Pelodiscus sinensis: one gene and its partners. The protein of the gene in region 1 purifies or fractionates together with the protein of each later gene. This does not show direct contact. Links are inferred from orthologs where the notes say so. Each region holds a gene or a part of one and is shown in the gene's direction. Other genes may lie near its edges.

Region 1 (3,742 bases):
CAAGTCACCTCTTTATTAAGTTAAACAGATTGAGCTCTTTGAATCATTCCAAGGCATGATTTCCAATCCTTTCATCTCATGGGTCTTCTCTGAATCCTTTCCAGTTTTTCAACATCCATCTTGAACCACGCTGGTCACAGGGTGGAGGCAGAGTGGAGAAGGCTTTGCATGCTCCCTCACTCCCAGGTCCTAATTGGCCTGGGGGCAGGGAAAGCAGCTTTTGCCCACCTCTGCTACAGAGTATAGCATTGTGGATACCGGAAAGATCCTCAGAGGCTACAAATCAGTTACATCACCACATAACCCACCAAAATTGTTGCAAGTTGGCAAACTCAACAGCTTGACCTATACAACAACCCAGCTGGCAGCCTTCAGGAAATCGTCATTCAGCCCATCGGAACATCACATTGCCATAGAACCTTCAGAATTCCAGTATTCCGCATTGGCCCTTCCCATGATGCTCATGGAACTCCAGAACCCCAACATTCCAGTCTGCCTCCGCAAATTCCACTCATTGCCACCACATAAACCTGGGGCCCCAGCTTCCTCGTAACAGCCTATACCTCCCGAGGAATGTACCAGGATCCCAGAACCCACAGGAGCCCACTGCTCCATTCAGCAGCAAACATACATATTTGCAACGGACCTAGAGCCCTGATGTTCCACCCAGCAGGCTAAGGCCTACAACTCCCTGAACGTCCCAGCACGAAGAGCCACCTTCTCCACACACATTCCATCCAGCTAAGCCAGTGGAACATTGGTGGACCCAACATTCCATCTAGCCACTTCCACAGAACCCGTGGGTCCTCTGTGTTCTGTCTGGGAATCTTGGGAGTCCTCACATTCCACTTATCAGCGCCCTGGACACCCCCACCATCCCTTCTCAACTGCCCACAGAACGCTGGGTCCCCAGCAGAGGAAGGCGAAGCTGTGCGGACAGAAGAGCGGAGCGCTGTGATTGGCACGTGCGTACGGACAGTGAGAGCCCTGCGTTGATTGATCGCATACAGTAAGCGACGGGCCGACGCTCCTATGTTTGTGTTAGCTCATGAAGAGACGTAGGGCGACGTCATGATTGGCCAGCAACAGGCATGGGGCGGGATTTCCGCTGTTCTAGGATTAGCCGAGAGCCCTTCTTCAGGGGCAGGACTACCGGTTATCATGGAGGCGTTGATTGGTGTTCGAGGCGCCCTGAGGGCGGGGCTTCCGGCGGTGACTCGAGTATGATTGGTGGAGAGCGCCGAGTGGGCGGGGTCGGGAGGCGAGGGCAGCGGCGCTATAAGAGGCCGTTGGCGCGCAGTGGAGGCACTCGGGGGGTCTCTGTGGAGCGGCTGAGCGCGGCGACAGGATGTTCGAGGCGCGGCTGGTGCAGGGCTCGGTGCTGAAGCGGGTGCTGGAGGCGCTCAAGGACCTGATCACCGAGGCCTGCTGGGACCTGGGCTCGGGCGGCATCAGCCTGCAGAGCATGGACTCGTCGCACGTCTCGCTGGTGCAGCTCACGCTGCGCTCCGAGGGCTTCGACACCTACCGCTGCGACCGCAACATCGCCATGGGCGTCAACCTGGCCAGGTAGCGGGGCTGCGGCCCCTGAGGCGGGGCGCGCGCGGCATCCCCGCGCCCGGGGTGGCTCGAGCCCCTCCTGTCGGCCGCCAGTCTGGCGCCTTTTCTGTCGCGCGCGCGGGCTTGTCGGCGGAGGTGACGTCACTTCGGCGCTGGCGCGCTGCGCCCGGCCTCGCTGGCGGGAAAGTTGCACGTGGGGGAGGGGCGCTGAGGCTACGGGCCTGTGGCTAGTGGGGTCCGCCCCATGGCGCCCAGTTACGGCTTGTCAGCGTGCGCGCTCTCCTCCTCCCCCCCCCCCACCGCCGCGTCGTGGCCTGGGGGCGGGCAGGTTCAGCAGCACCTGGAGCTGTTCCTCTGCTCCCCTGTCACTCGCGCTCATCTCCCTTCCCAGGCTCGTGTGGAAATCCTGCACCGGGGGCCGCTGTGTGAAATGGGTGGCTGGGACGCAGCTCCCTGTATTGCAAATAAATCCCTTCAAATTCTTTCTTTCTTAGTATGTCCAAAATACTGAAGTGTGCTGGCAATGAAGACATAATCACGCTCAGAGCAGAGGACAATGCTGATACGCTGGCTCTGGTATTTGAGGCACCAAGTAAATATCTCAAACCCATTCTTTTTTATTAACATATTAATGCTACTGTAATTTACTTGAGATGGGAATGCCTGACAATTTCCCTTCATATGTTTCTCTCCTTGTCCAGATCTATTCTGCTCCCAATAATTTTCTGTTCATTGAACTTTTTGAAACTTGCCTCTTTTAGAGAGCGATAAGGGATTGACTCTGTGCTCACAGACTTGCAGAGGGACAATAGGGCTGCGGTCTGTTTTGTTTCATTTCTATATACTATTTATTTAAAAACATTCTTGCTGTGAACAAGTATGCTATCTCTGGAGATAAAGCCACAGTTTGAGAATTGCAAAACTAAGCATCTGGGATGGTATCTTCTAGACCAGGGATGGCCCATCATTTTTTATACAGGATTCATTCTAAGATTTTGGAAAGTGGTTGAGGGCTGCACTCTTCCATGGAGGAGGTGTGAGGTCTGGAATGGAGGTTGGGTGCAGAAGGGAGAATGCAGTCTGGGAGGGAGTTATGACCTAGGGAAGGAACTGGGGTATAGGATTTGGGGATATGACCTCATTGATTGTATGTTATCTTGCACTGGATGCTATCTTGCATTTAAGCTGTGACTTATAGACAGAGTGGCCACCAGGGCACCTGTGCTTTTTCCTCTTCTTTTGAAAACTGCCTCTTCCCTGTCTGTACACGCCTTTTTCTGGAGAGCTCGTTCAGAAAAAAGGCTTCTTGTGGAAAGAGGCTTTACCAATGTTGGAAAAACCCCTCCTGATCTCTTTTGAAAACACAATTGGTGTGTGGGTGCAAGTGAAGTTGGTTTTTTTTAAACTGCTGTTTTTCCGAAAAGACTATAGTGTAGACATAGCCTGGGAGAAGGGGGTATGGATGTATGTGGGATAGGTTCTGGCCAGGAGACTTACCAGTTAGCAGCCAAACAAGCCAGCCATGTGCCTGAGCGAGCAAGCAGGAAGGTAGCTGCCTGTTGTTCAAACAAGCAACTCCCGCTGGCCAGTTTCTCTCTAGAAACTGGCAAATAAGATTGTGCTGGGGGTGGGAGCAGCCTCTGAATCTTCCCTCCAGATGCAAAGAGGAAACACCCCACAGCTGTGTTTTCTGAGCAGCAAGCAAGAGAGCCTGCTTGGGGCTCCCCACCACCTCCATGGGCCAGATCTGGTGGCTTGGCGGGTTGTATTTTGCCCAGGCCTGTTCTAGACTGATCACTGAGTCCTATTGGGTAGATAGGAAGATAACCTAAAATCTATGCATACGTCTCTGGAACACCCTTAGATTGGGTCCCTAATTCAGGAACTATTGGAACTCATTTACAAAACTTTTCTTAACCATTACATTTATATATTCTCATACTATAATATTAAAATGTATAATCATTATTCCATGATGAGATCTTTGAGCTATAATGTATCTTAATTACAACTATCTCTAGATGGGTCTGTTCTTCAAAGCATTTTATCAAAGAAATTTGGTTTCAATCAGTAGATCAGGATCTATGGATAGATCTTGGAGCCTCTAACAGGTAATCCTGACTGGTTTGGCCAGGAAGCTATCAAGTACTGGCACTTTAGTTGCCCCTCCACCCACTGTCAC
Region 2 (3,742 bases), on another chromosome or scaffold:
GTGGCCAACGGGAGGGCCAGAAAACGTGTTACAAGTCTGCATGTGACAGCACTCGGTGGCCAAACCTGCCCAGCGCAGCCACAGCCGAGCCGCCACCAGACCCGCCGCACACCTTGCTGTAGAGCCCGGCCGCAGCCGCGTAGTCCCGGCCCTGGAAGCGCTGGGTCCCCTCCTGCTTGTAGAAGCGGGCGGCGCGTGGGTCCTTCCCGACCCCGACCCGGGCCGCCAGGCTCCGCAGCACCGCCTCGTCCGCTGGCCTGGGGGGCGGGAGAAGAGTCGGGTCGGGGGGGCCGGCGGGGGGGAGAGCGAGGGAGCGGGAGGAGGGGCCGCTCCCCGGGGCCGGCGGGGGGAGGGGGGGGCCGCTCCCCGGGGCCGGCGGGGGGAGGGGGGGGGCCGCTCCCCGGGGCCGGCGGGGGGAGGGGGGGGGCCGCTCCCCGGGGCCGGCGGGGGGAGGGGGGGGGCCGCTCCCCGGGGCCGGCGGGGGGAGGGGGGGGCCGCTCCCCGGGGCCGGCGGGGGGAGCGGGAGCGGGGGGGGCTGCTCCCCGGGGCCGGCGGGGGGAGCGGGGGGCCGGCGGGGGGAGGGGGGCTGCTCCCCGGGGCCGGCGGGGGGAGGGGGGGGCCGGCGGGGGGAGGGGGGCTGCTCCCCGGGGCCGGCGGGGGGGAGGGGGGGGCCGGCGGGGGGAGGGGGGCTGCTCCCCGGGGCCGGCGGGGGGAGGGGGGGCCGGCGGGGGGAGGGGGGCTGCTCCCCGGGGCCGGCGGGGGGAGGGGGGGCTGCTCCCCGGGGCCGGCGGGGGGAGGGGGGGCCGGCGGGGGGGAGGGGGGCTGCTCCCCGGGGCCGGCGGGGGGAGGGGGGGGCTGCTCCCCGGGGCCGGCGGGGGGGGGGAGCGGGGGGGGCGCTCCCCGGGGCCGGCGGGGGGAGCGGGGGGCTGCTCCCCGGGGCGCTCACCGCAGCAGGGGCGCGCAGAGCCGGAAGGTGTCCCGCAGCGGCGCGGCCTCGCACAGCGCCTCCCGCAGGGCCGGGGCCAGCGAGCCCCACCGCCCCCGAGCATGGGCCCGCCAGGCCTCCGCGGGCAGCTCCATGGGCGGCGCGAGGCTCCCCCGGCAGCTGCTGCAATGGCGGCGCCCGCACCCCAGAGGCTCCCTTCCGCCGTACGCGCGCCAGCCAATGGGGGAGCCGCGCGGCTGACGTGGTGCGTGCGGAGCGTGCGCGGTGACGCGGCGGCCGAGCGGGCTGCGGCGGGAGCATTTGGCGGCAGCGCGCGGAGCCGGAGCCTGTGGCGCAGCATGAGCGCGCGCCTGAGCGAAGGGGCCATCGCGGTGAGGGGGGGCTAGTGCGCGGGGCGGGGCGGGGCGAGGTTTCGGGGTGCCCGTGCAATGGGTGGGGGTTGCGGGGCCCCCCCCCGGGATGGGCGAGGGCGGGGCGCCCCCCCGGGATGGGCGGGGGCGGGGCGGGGTTGCGGGGGGCCCCCCCCCGGGATGGGCGGGGTTGCGGGCCCCCCCCCGGGATGGGCGGGGGCGGGGCGGGGTTGCGGGGGGCCCCCCCCCGGGATGGGCGGGGGTGCGGGGGGGCCCCCCCGGGATGGGCGGGGGTGCGGGGGGGCCCCCCCCCGGGATGGGCGGGGGTGCGGGCCGGCCCCCCCCCGGGATGGGCGGGGTTGCGGGCCCCCCCCGGGATGGGCGGGGTTGCGGGGGGGCCCCCCCCCCGGGATGGGCGGGGTTGCGGGGTGCACCATGCGCTGAGACGAGGGGGACAGTCCCCGGGCCGGTGTGGACTGGGGGAGTCCGTCCTGTTGGCCCCGTGGAGCGGGGAGGGGAGCGCAGGCTGCTGAGGACTGTGACTAATCTCCCCTCCCCCAGCTGTCTCCGGAGCACCCCGGGGGGGGGGCAATGTTGGGGTGTGCCAGAGAGAATTCTGAAGTCCTTGAATAAGTTACAGTCTGTAGGAAGTAGAACTACTTTCAGCATCTCCATAGACTGCCTGAAAGGGCTCAACAGGCTACTGTGTGAGAAATGATGAACTAGCAACTTGGCCTGTTACTTCCCATAAAGTCCAGGGATTTCTTAGGTGAAACACGTCTCTCAGCACATAGTCTTGCCCTTTTCCTTGTACCAGCAGTGTGATTCCTTCTACAGTGAACAGAACTTTTCAGGATGTTCACATTGCTGGCATACTATCTACGTTTGATTTAGCACTTTGGGAGCCGTTTATTATAATTAGTCTAGTTATTTATTTGCTAATCTCCCTGGTTACAAAGTTTAAAGAAAATCATTTCCAATCAAAAGGATTAAATCCTCTATCTTCCTTTACAGGCCATAATGCAGGGAGAGAATAATTTAAGACCTGTTCTCCAAGTCATTGTGAGTATTCCTTCAAATGTCCTCTTACTCGTGTGACCTGTAGCTTAATGTACTTGTAAGTGTATGTGCCGTTTTACAAATCCATAAAGACAAGGTACCTAACCTGGCAACCATTAAGTTTAACTGGTTAAATGATTTGACAGAAGTGGGTGAGCTGGAGAGGACCCTGCACTGTGGGCTGAGACTTCCAACCCCGCTCTTGGCTGTCAGCTCCCAATCTGGGCTCGCAGGCTGGGAATCTGCAGCATCACAAGGGGTGGAAGCAGCAGCCTTGTGCAGGGCTGGAAGTGGCAGGCTCCTTCCCCTCCCTCCCCACCACTTCTAGCTCCGTTTGAGCTGCCAAAGAAGTGAAAGTCTTGTAGGTGAGTAGACCAGTACTAGCAACTTGTACTTGAAAGGCTCATTGGCATGAATCTGCACAAGCATGTTTTAGTCAGTCTGAGAGAGGCTTTAATTGAATGTCATCTATCTTAGTTTTCTGTTTTATGAGTAAGCTCTCCAGAACAGGTGTCAGCTCTTCGTTGTTTCTAATGTATGCCTGTAAAATCAGATCAGGGCTAAGAATTCAAGTTTTTCCTTCTAGAACATCCGAGCCATCGCCACAGGAAATGGGCCACCTCGTTACCGTGTGCTGATGAGCGATGGGGTGAACACACTCTCCTGTAAGTTATGCATTGTCACAAGAATTTACAAGTACATGGCTAATAATTAGACCCAATGGTCAGAATTAATGACAGTGGTATTTGCTGCTGAACTGAGTTCCAGAATGTGAATGGTATAGAATTTATTTTGATGTTGGAATCTGTAACTGTATTTTATCTTATAAATAAACTCCAGCTTTTCTGAGTTGTTGCAGTGTGTCCAAGAATTTGTTTATTATAGAGAACAGCTCAATTCTATGGAATGGTGATTAGCGACTATCTTAATAATGGTGGTCTGGGTGGATTGATTTAAATCAAGGTGATTTGAGTCATGAATTTAAATCAAGTTATCAAAGAAGCTTAGATTTAATGTGCTTAGAGTGCACTTAATTTTGGAGTAAACCCCAAATTTTGGAGTAAGCCCGGATTGAACTCACTGGCCCCTCTGGGGTTCTCTTGGAAAAGATAAGTTATGCTGAAGAAAAATAGGTAATTATGATCTGGACCATGATGTTCCAAAATGAGAGGCATGTATTTTGTAATATCTGATAAGAAAATGACAGTCAGTGGCAACTGGCAACTCTAGATTTCTTTTACTGTAGCTTTCTATATTGTATACTTGAATGACAGATTCTAATCCTGGTTAACTAATTAAAAACAAGCTATAAGGATTAGCTAAGAGAATTTTTTTTTCAGCAAAATGTAATACAGCAAACAGCTTGGGAATTTACTTGTCAAATCAC
Region 3 (3,742 bases), on another chromosome or scaffold:
TGGGCTAGAGGGACCTTTGGTCTGACCCAGGCTGGCTGTTCTTATGTTAAGTGAAGTAGCACAGGAGATCTGCTGACTGAATCCCGGAGCCGGGATGGCCCAGAAGGAAAGACGACCAGGCAGCGACGGGTCCAGGTGGCAAAGGAATTTGTGGCTCCCAAGAGGCTGAGAGAAGGAAGCAAAGTCTGCCCCCCCCCTCCCCGCCCCAAGGCAGCAGGGCCGAGCGACGCCTGCTTGCGATGCCAGAGGCTGGCACCGGGCGTAGCCCGCGCGTGTGTGTCCAGCCCAGTGGAGATCCACGACTGGGATTCCCAGGGGCTACGGCAATCGGTCCTCTCTTCCAGGCGGCGGGCGCCCCCAGAGGATAACAGTTCACTATTGCTGCCGGCAATGCGGCGGTCCGTGTCCCCGAGAGGGCTCAGGGTTCAAGCCCGGGGGGGGGGGGGGCGGGTTACACCAGACAGGCCGGTCCCCAGGAGGGTTTTGCTGCTGCCTTGGGGACCAGTGAGATGGGGGGGGGGGCGGAAGCACCTCCGAGCTGCCCACGACAGGCCTGGGGGGGGGGCTGGGCCCCTTCAGACCGAGCTCAGGCCCCGCGGGCGAGTCGGACCCTGCCCCCCCCAGGTCCCAGGGAGGGGGCTGCGCGGGGGGGGGCCCTTGAGGGACAGAGCGCACGGCCAGCGGCCCGGCTGGCAGCAGTGGTAGGGCCGTTACCCGGGCCCAGCGGGGGGGGCTCAGCCTCTGCCCCCCCCAGCCAAGGGACCCCCCCTCTAGGGGCACCCCCCCAGTTAGGGACCCTCCCCCCCGAGCCAGGGGACCCCCCCCCCGCCAGAACTCCCCCCCCCCCCGGGAGCGAGGGGGGAGGGGCCGGGGGGGGGGCTTCCCCAGGGCCCTTCCGGCCGGCCCGTCTCGCTGGTTCCGGTCCTCCGGCCCCGCCCCCGCCCGGGCCCCGCCGCCGACACCCGCGGCCCCGGCCCCGACGCTGCGCTGCCGCCTCGGGGTGAGTCCGCGCGGCCCCCCCCCCCCCACAGCTCCCCCCGCCCCGAGCCCCGCCCCCGAGACCCCCCCAGTGCACGCGGGGGGGGGGTCTCCCCTGGGATCCCCGGGGCCGCCCCGCCTCGTCCCCTCCCCCTCGGCACGTGGTGGGGGGGCCCTTTGCTCCCCGAGCCCCCCCCCCGCCCGGCGGGGCTGGACCTGCGCCCGCGTGGCCAGGTGGGGGGGGCTGTTATTGTAGGGTCGCCCCGGGGGGCGGGGCCGTGGTCGCTGCTGCAGGGGGCGGCGTGGAGGTCGTGGGGCGCTGGGCGTGTGTGGGGTCCCCCCGGGCTCGGCCTGCTGGAGCGTTGGGGGGCGCGGTGGAAGGGCCCCCCTTTATCCTGAGCCCCCTGCGGTGTCTGAGTGGGGGGGTCTGGCCGTGGGGTGCAGGGGGACCCCTGGGTCGTCCCTTCCCCCTCCGCCGGCGCCTGCCTAACCCGCCGCCCTTTCCCCCCGCAGCCGGCGCGGTGCCAGGATGGCGAAGGAGATGCGGGCGCAGTACGAGCCGGTGGCGGAAATCGGCGTCGGCGCCTACGGCACCGTCTACAAGGCCCGGGACCTGCAGAGTGGCAAGTTCGTGGCCCTCAAGAACGTGCGGGTGCAGACCAACGAGAACGGGCTGCCGCTGTCCACCGTGCGCGAGGTGGCGCTGCTCAAGCGCCTGGAGCACTTCGACCACCCCAACATCGTCCGGTGAGGGGCTGGGGGCGCCCTGCCCGCCGGGGAGCCAGCGGAGACCTGGGGGGGGGGAGAGGAATTTGCACGGGGTGACCGGTCACATGGGCCACTTAGCTTGCACTGACGGGCGTTCGTTTTGGGGGACCCAGCGCCCCCTTCCCGCTGGGCTGTGCGAGAAGGGGGCCCAGTATCCCATGGGGAGCTCCCTCGGGGTGGGTAGGATGGGAGAGGGGATTTGGGGGTGAGAGTGGGAGGGAGGGAGCGGGGACGGTGGTCTTCGATCCGGGGGGCTGTGTAGGAGCCCAGCTCTGCCTAGGGGGGGCCAGCTCTGCGGGGGGGGGGGGCCCTGCTTGTGACGCCGTTCACGGGACAGCACCCTGGCCTGCTCTCTGGTGCCTGGCTTCCTGGAGGAGCCGATCCCTGTTGCTCCTTTTTCCAGCTCTGGGAAACATGCGGCTTCCTTCCCCGCCAGCCAGGCTGCGACGGGACCAGGGAGGGAGAGCGGCCGGGCTGGGCCCTGCGAGGGCTGGCTGGCGGGTTTCCCCTGGCAGAGGATGTCAGTCCCCTCCCTTCCGAGGGGCCCGCCTGCGCCGGAGGGGGCGGGGGAGGCCCCAGAGCTGCTGGGAGCCTCCCCGGCCTTGGCCCCCGCCTTTGGGCCTGTTCCATGCGCCTCTCGCTGCCAGCCAGTTCCACCTCGCCGAGGGTCTGACGCCGGCTCTCCAGACGCGGGGGTGCAGGGGGGGAGGTCGCTGGTGGGTGGGGTCTCCATCCCCCTCCCCCCCCAGACACTCAGCGGTAAACAGCCATTTTAGGGGAGGTGCTAAAAATCCAGCCTCAGCAGCGGGCCCTTGGGGCAGAGGGTGGGGGCAGGGCAGGGCTGGGGAGGGCGTGCTTTGGGGGCCTGGAGGCAGGGGGTGCATCGGGGTTGGCAGGAGCTATTTAAGCGTTGTCCTGCTGCCTGGTGGCTTCCTATGGTGAGTGGGCCTAGTGCAGCCGCTCCCCTCCCGCCCCCGGGTTTTCCTCGGAGAGGGGGGCTCTGTTGCCTTCGGCGCGAGGGCTCCCCCGCAGAGGAGCCTGTGGGGCCGGCACGTTCTGCCGGCCCAGCCCTGAGCGACCCCACGAGACAGCCCGCCCCCTCCCCAGCTCTACAGACATTGCCCAGCCTGGCCGGGAGTCCCCTCGGGGGGCGCAGGGGGGGAAGGATCTGGTGTCCTGTGCTGATTAGTGGGGCCAGGGACGGGCTGATTGAATTAGCCCGCTGAGTCTGGAACGCCGTGGGGCTACCTGGCTGCAGCGTCTGCCGCTGCACAATCGGCTGCAGCTCCCTTGTTCTGGGCTTTGGTGCTGGGGGCTCAGGAAGTCTGGCCCCACATCACGAGCTTGGGACGCAGGAGGGGCCTGAGCCCTGTTCCATCCCTCTAGACAGGCCCTGGTCTGTCCCTCTGTTGAGCCAGATCTTGGGGTTCCTGGGAGGGGGGCGCCAGCTCCCTGCCTGGCCCCTCCCTTCCGCACTCGGGCCCCCGGCCCCCACCAACGCCCTGCTCTGCCGCCCGGCAGGTTGATGGACGTGTGCGCGACCGCCCGGGCGGAGCGGGAGACCAAGGTGACCCTGGTCTTCGAGCACGTGGACCAGGACCTGAAGACGTATCTGGACAAGGCGCCGGCCCCTGGCTTGCCAGCGGAGAAGATAAAGGTACGAGGGAAACTGAGGCCTGCCCCACGGCTCCCGCCCCAGGAATGTTGCAGAGAGCGGGGCTCTCACGACAGGGTTGGCCTCAGCGGCCGGGGAGGACTCTGCCCCCCCGAGGCTCCTTCCTGTTCTGTGGCCCCAAATCTGACCCTATTCCCCCCCCACCCCACCCCGCGTGGCCAGGAGCTGATGCGCCAGTTCCTGAGCGGCCTGGACTTCCTGCACTCGAATTGCATCGTGCATCGCGACCTGAAGCCGGAGAACATCCTGGTGACCAGCAGCGGGCAAGTGAAGCTGGCGGACTTCGGCCTGGCCCGGATCTACAGCTGCCAGATGGCCCTG

Evidence for each region.
Region 2: the proteins of PCNA (region 1) and RPA1 purify together in Homo sapiens (affinity purification with western blotting; 7 studies listed by BioGRID, with this or other methods). This does not show direct contact. The link is inferred for Pelodiscus sinensis from reciprocal best matches to the Homo sapiens genes PCNA and RPA1.
Region 3: the proteins of PCNA (region 1) and CDK4 purify together in Homo sapiens (affinity purification with western blotting; 5 studies listed by BioGRID and IntAct, with this or other methods). This does not show direct contact. The link is inferred for Pelodiscus sinensis from reciprocal best matches to the Homo sapiens genes PCNA and CDK4.

Annotation. Positions count from the first base shown.
Region 1 is NC_134738.1:703,706-707,447, reverse strand, and holds the start of PCNA (proliferating cell nuclear antigen), read left to right. Parts: upstream 1-1,252; 5' UTR 1,253-1,348; coding exon 1,349-1,569; intron 1,570-2,054; coding exon 2,055-2,152; intron 2,153-3,742. UniProt on the Homo sapiens protein: Auxiliary protein of DNA polymerase delta and epsilon, is involved in the control of eukaryotic DNA replication by increasing the polymerase's processibility during elongation of the leading strand.
Region 2 is NC_134731.1:875,278-879,019, reverse strand, and holds the start of RPA1 (replication protein A 70 kDa DNA-binding subunit), read left to right. Parts: upstream 1-1,080; 5' UTR 1,081-1,113; coding exon 1,114-1,317; intron 1,318-2,310; coding exon 2,311-2,358; intron 2,359-2,941; coding exon 2,942-3,020; intron 3,021-3,742. Other genes in the region: protein-lysine N-methyltransferase SMYD4, read right to left, coding at 113-257, 947-1,080. UniProt on the Homo sapiens protein: As part of the heterotrimeric replication protein A complex (RPA/RP-A), binds and stabilizes single-stranded DNA intermediates that form during DNA replication or upon DNA stress.
Region 3 is NC_134729.1:2,456,665-2,460,406, forward strand, and holds the start of CDK4 (cyclin-dependent kinase 4), read left to right. Parts: upstream 1-854; 5' UTR 855-1,000; intron 1,001-1,491; 5' UTR 1,492-1,507; coding exon 1,508-1,725; intron 1,726-3,267; coding exon 3,268-3,403; intron 3,404-3,583; coding exon 3,584-3,742.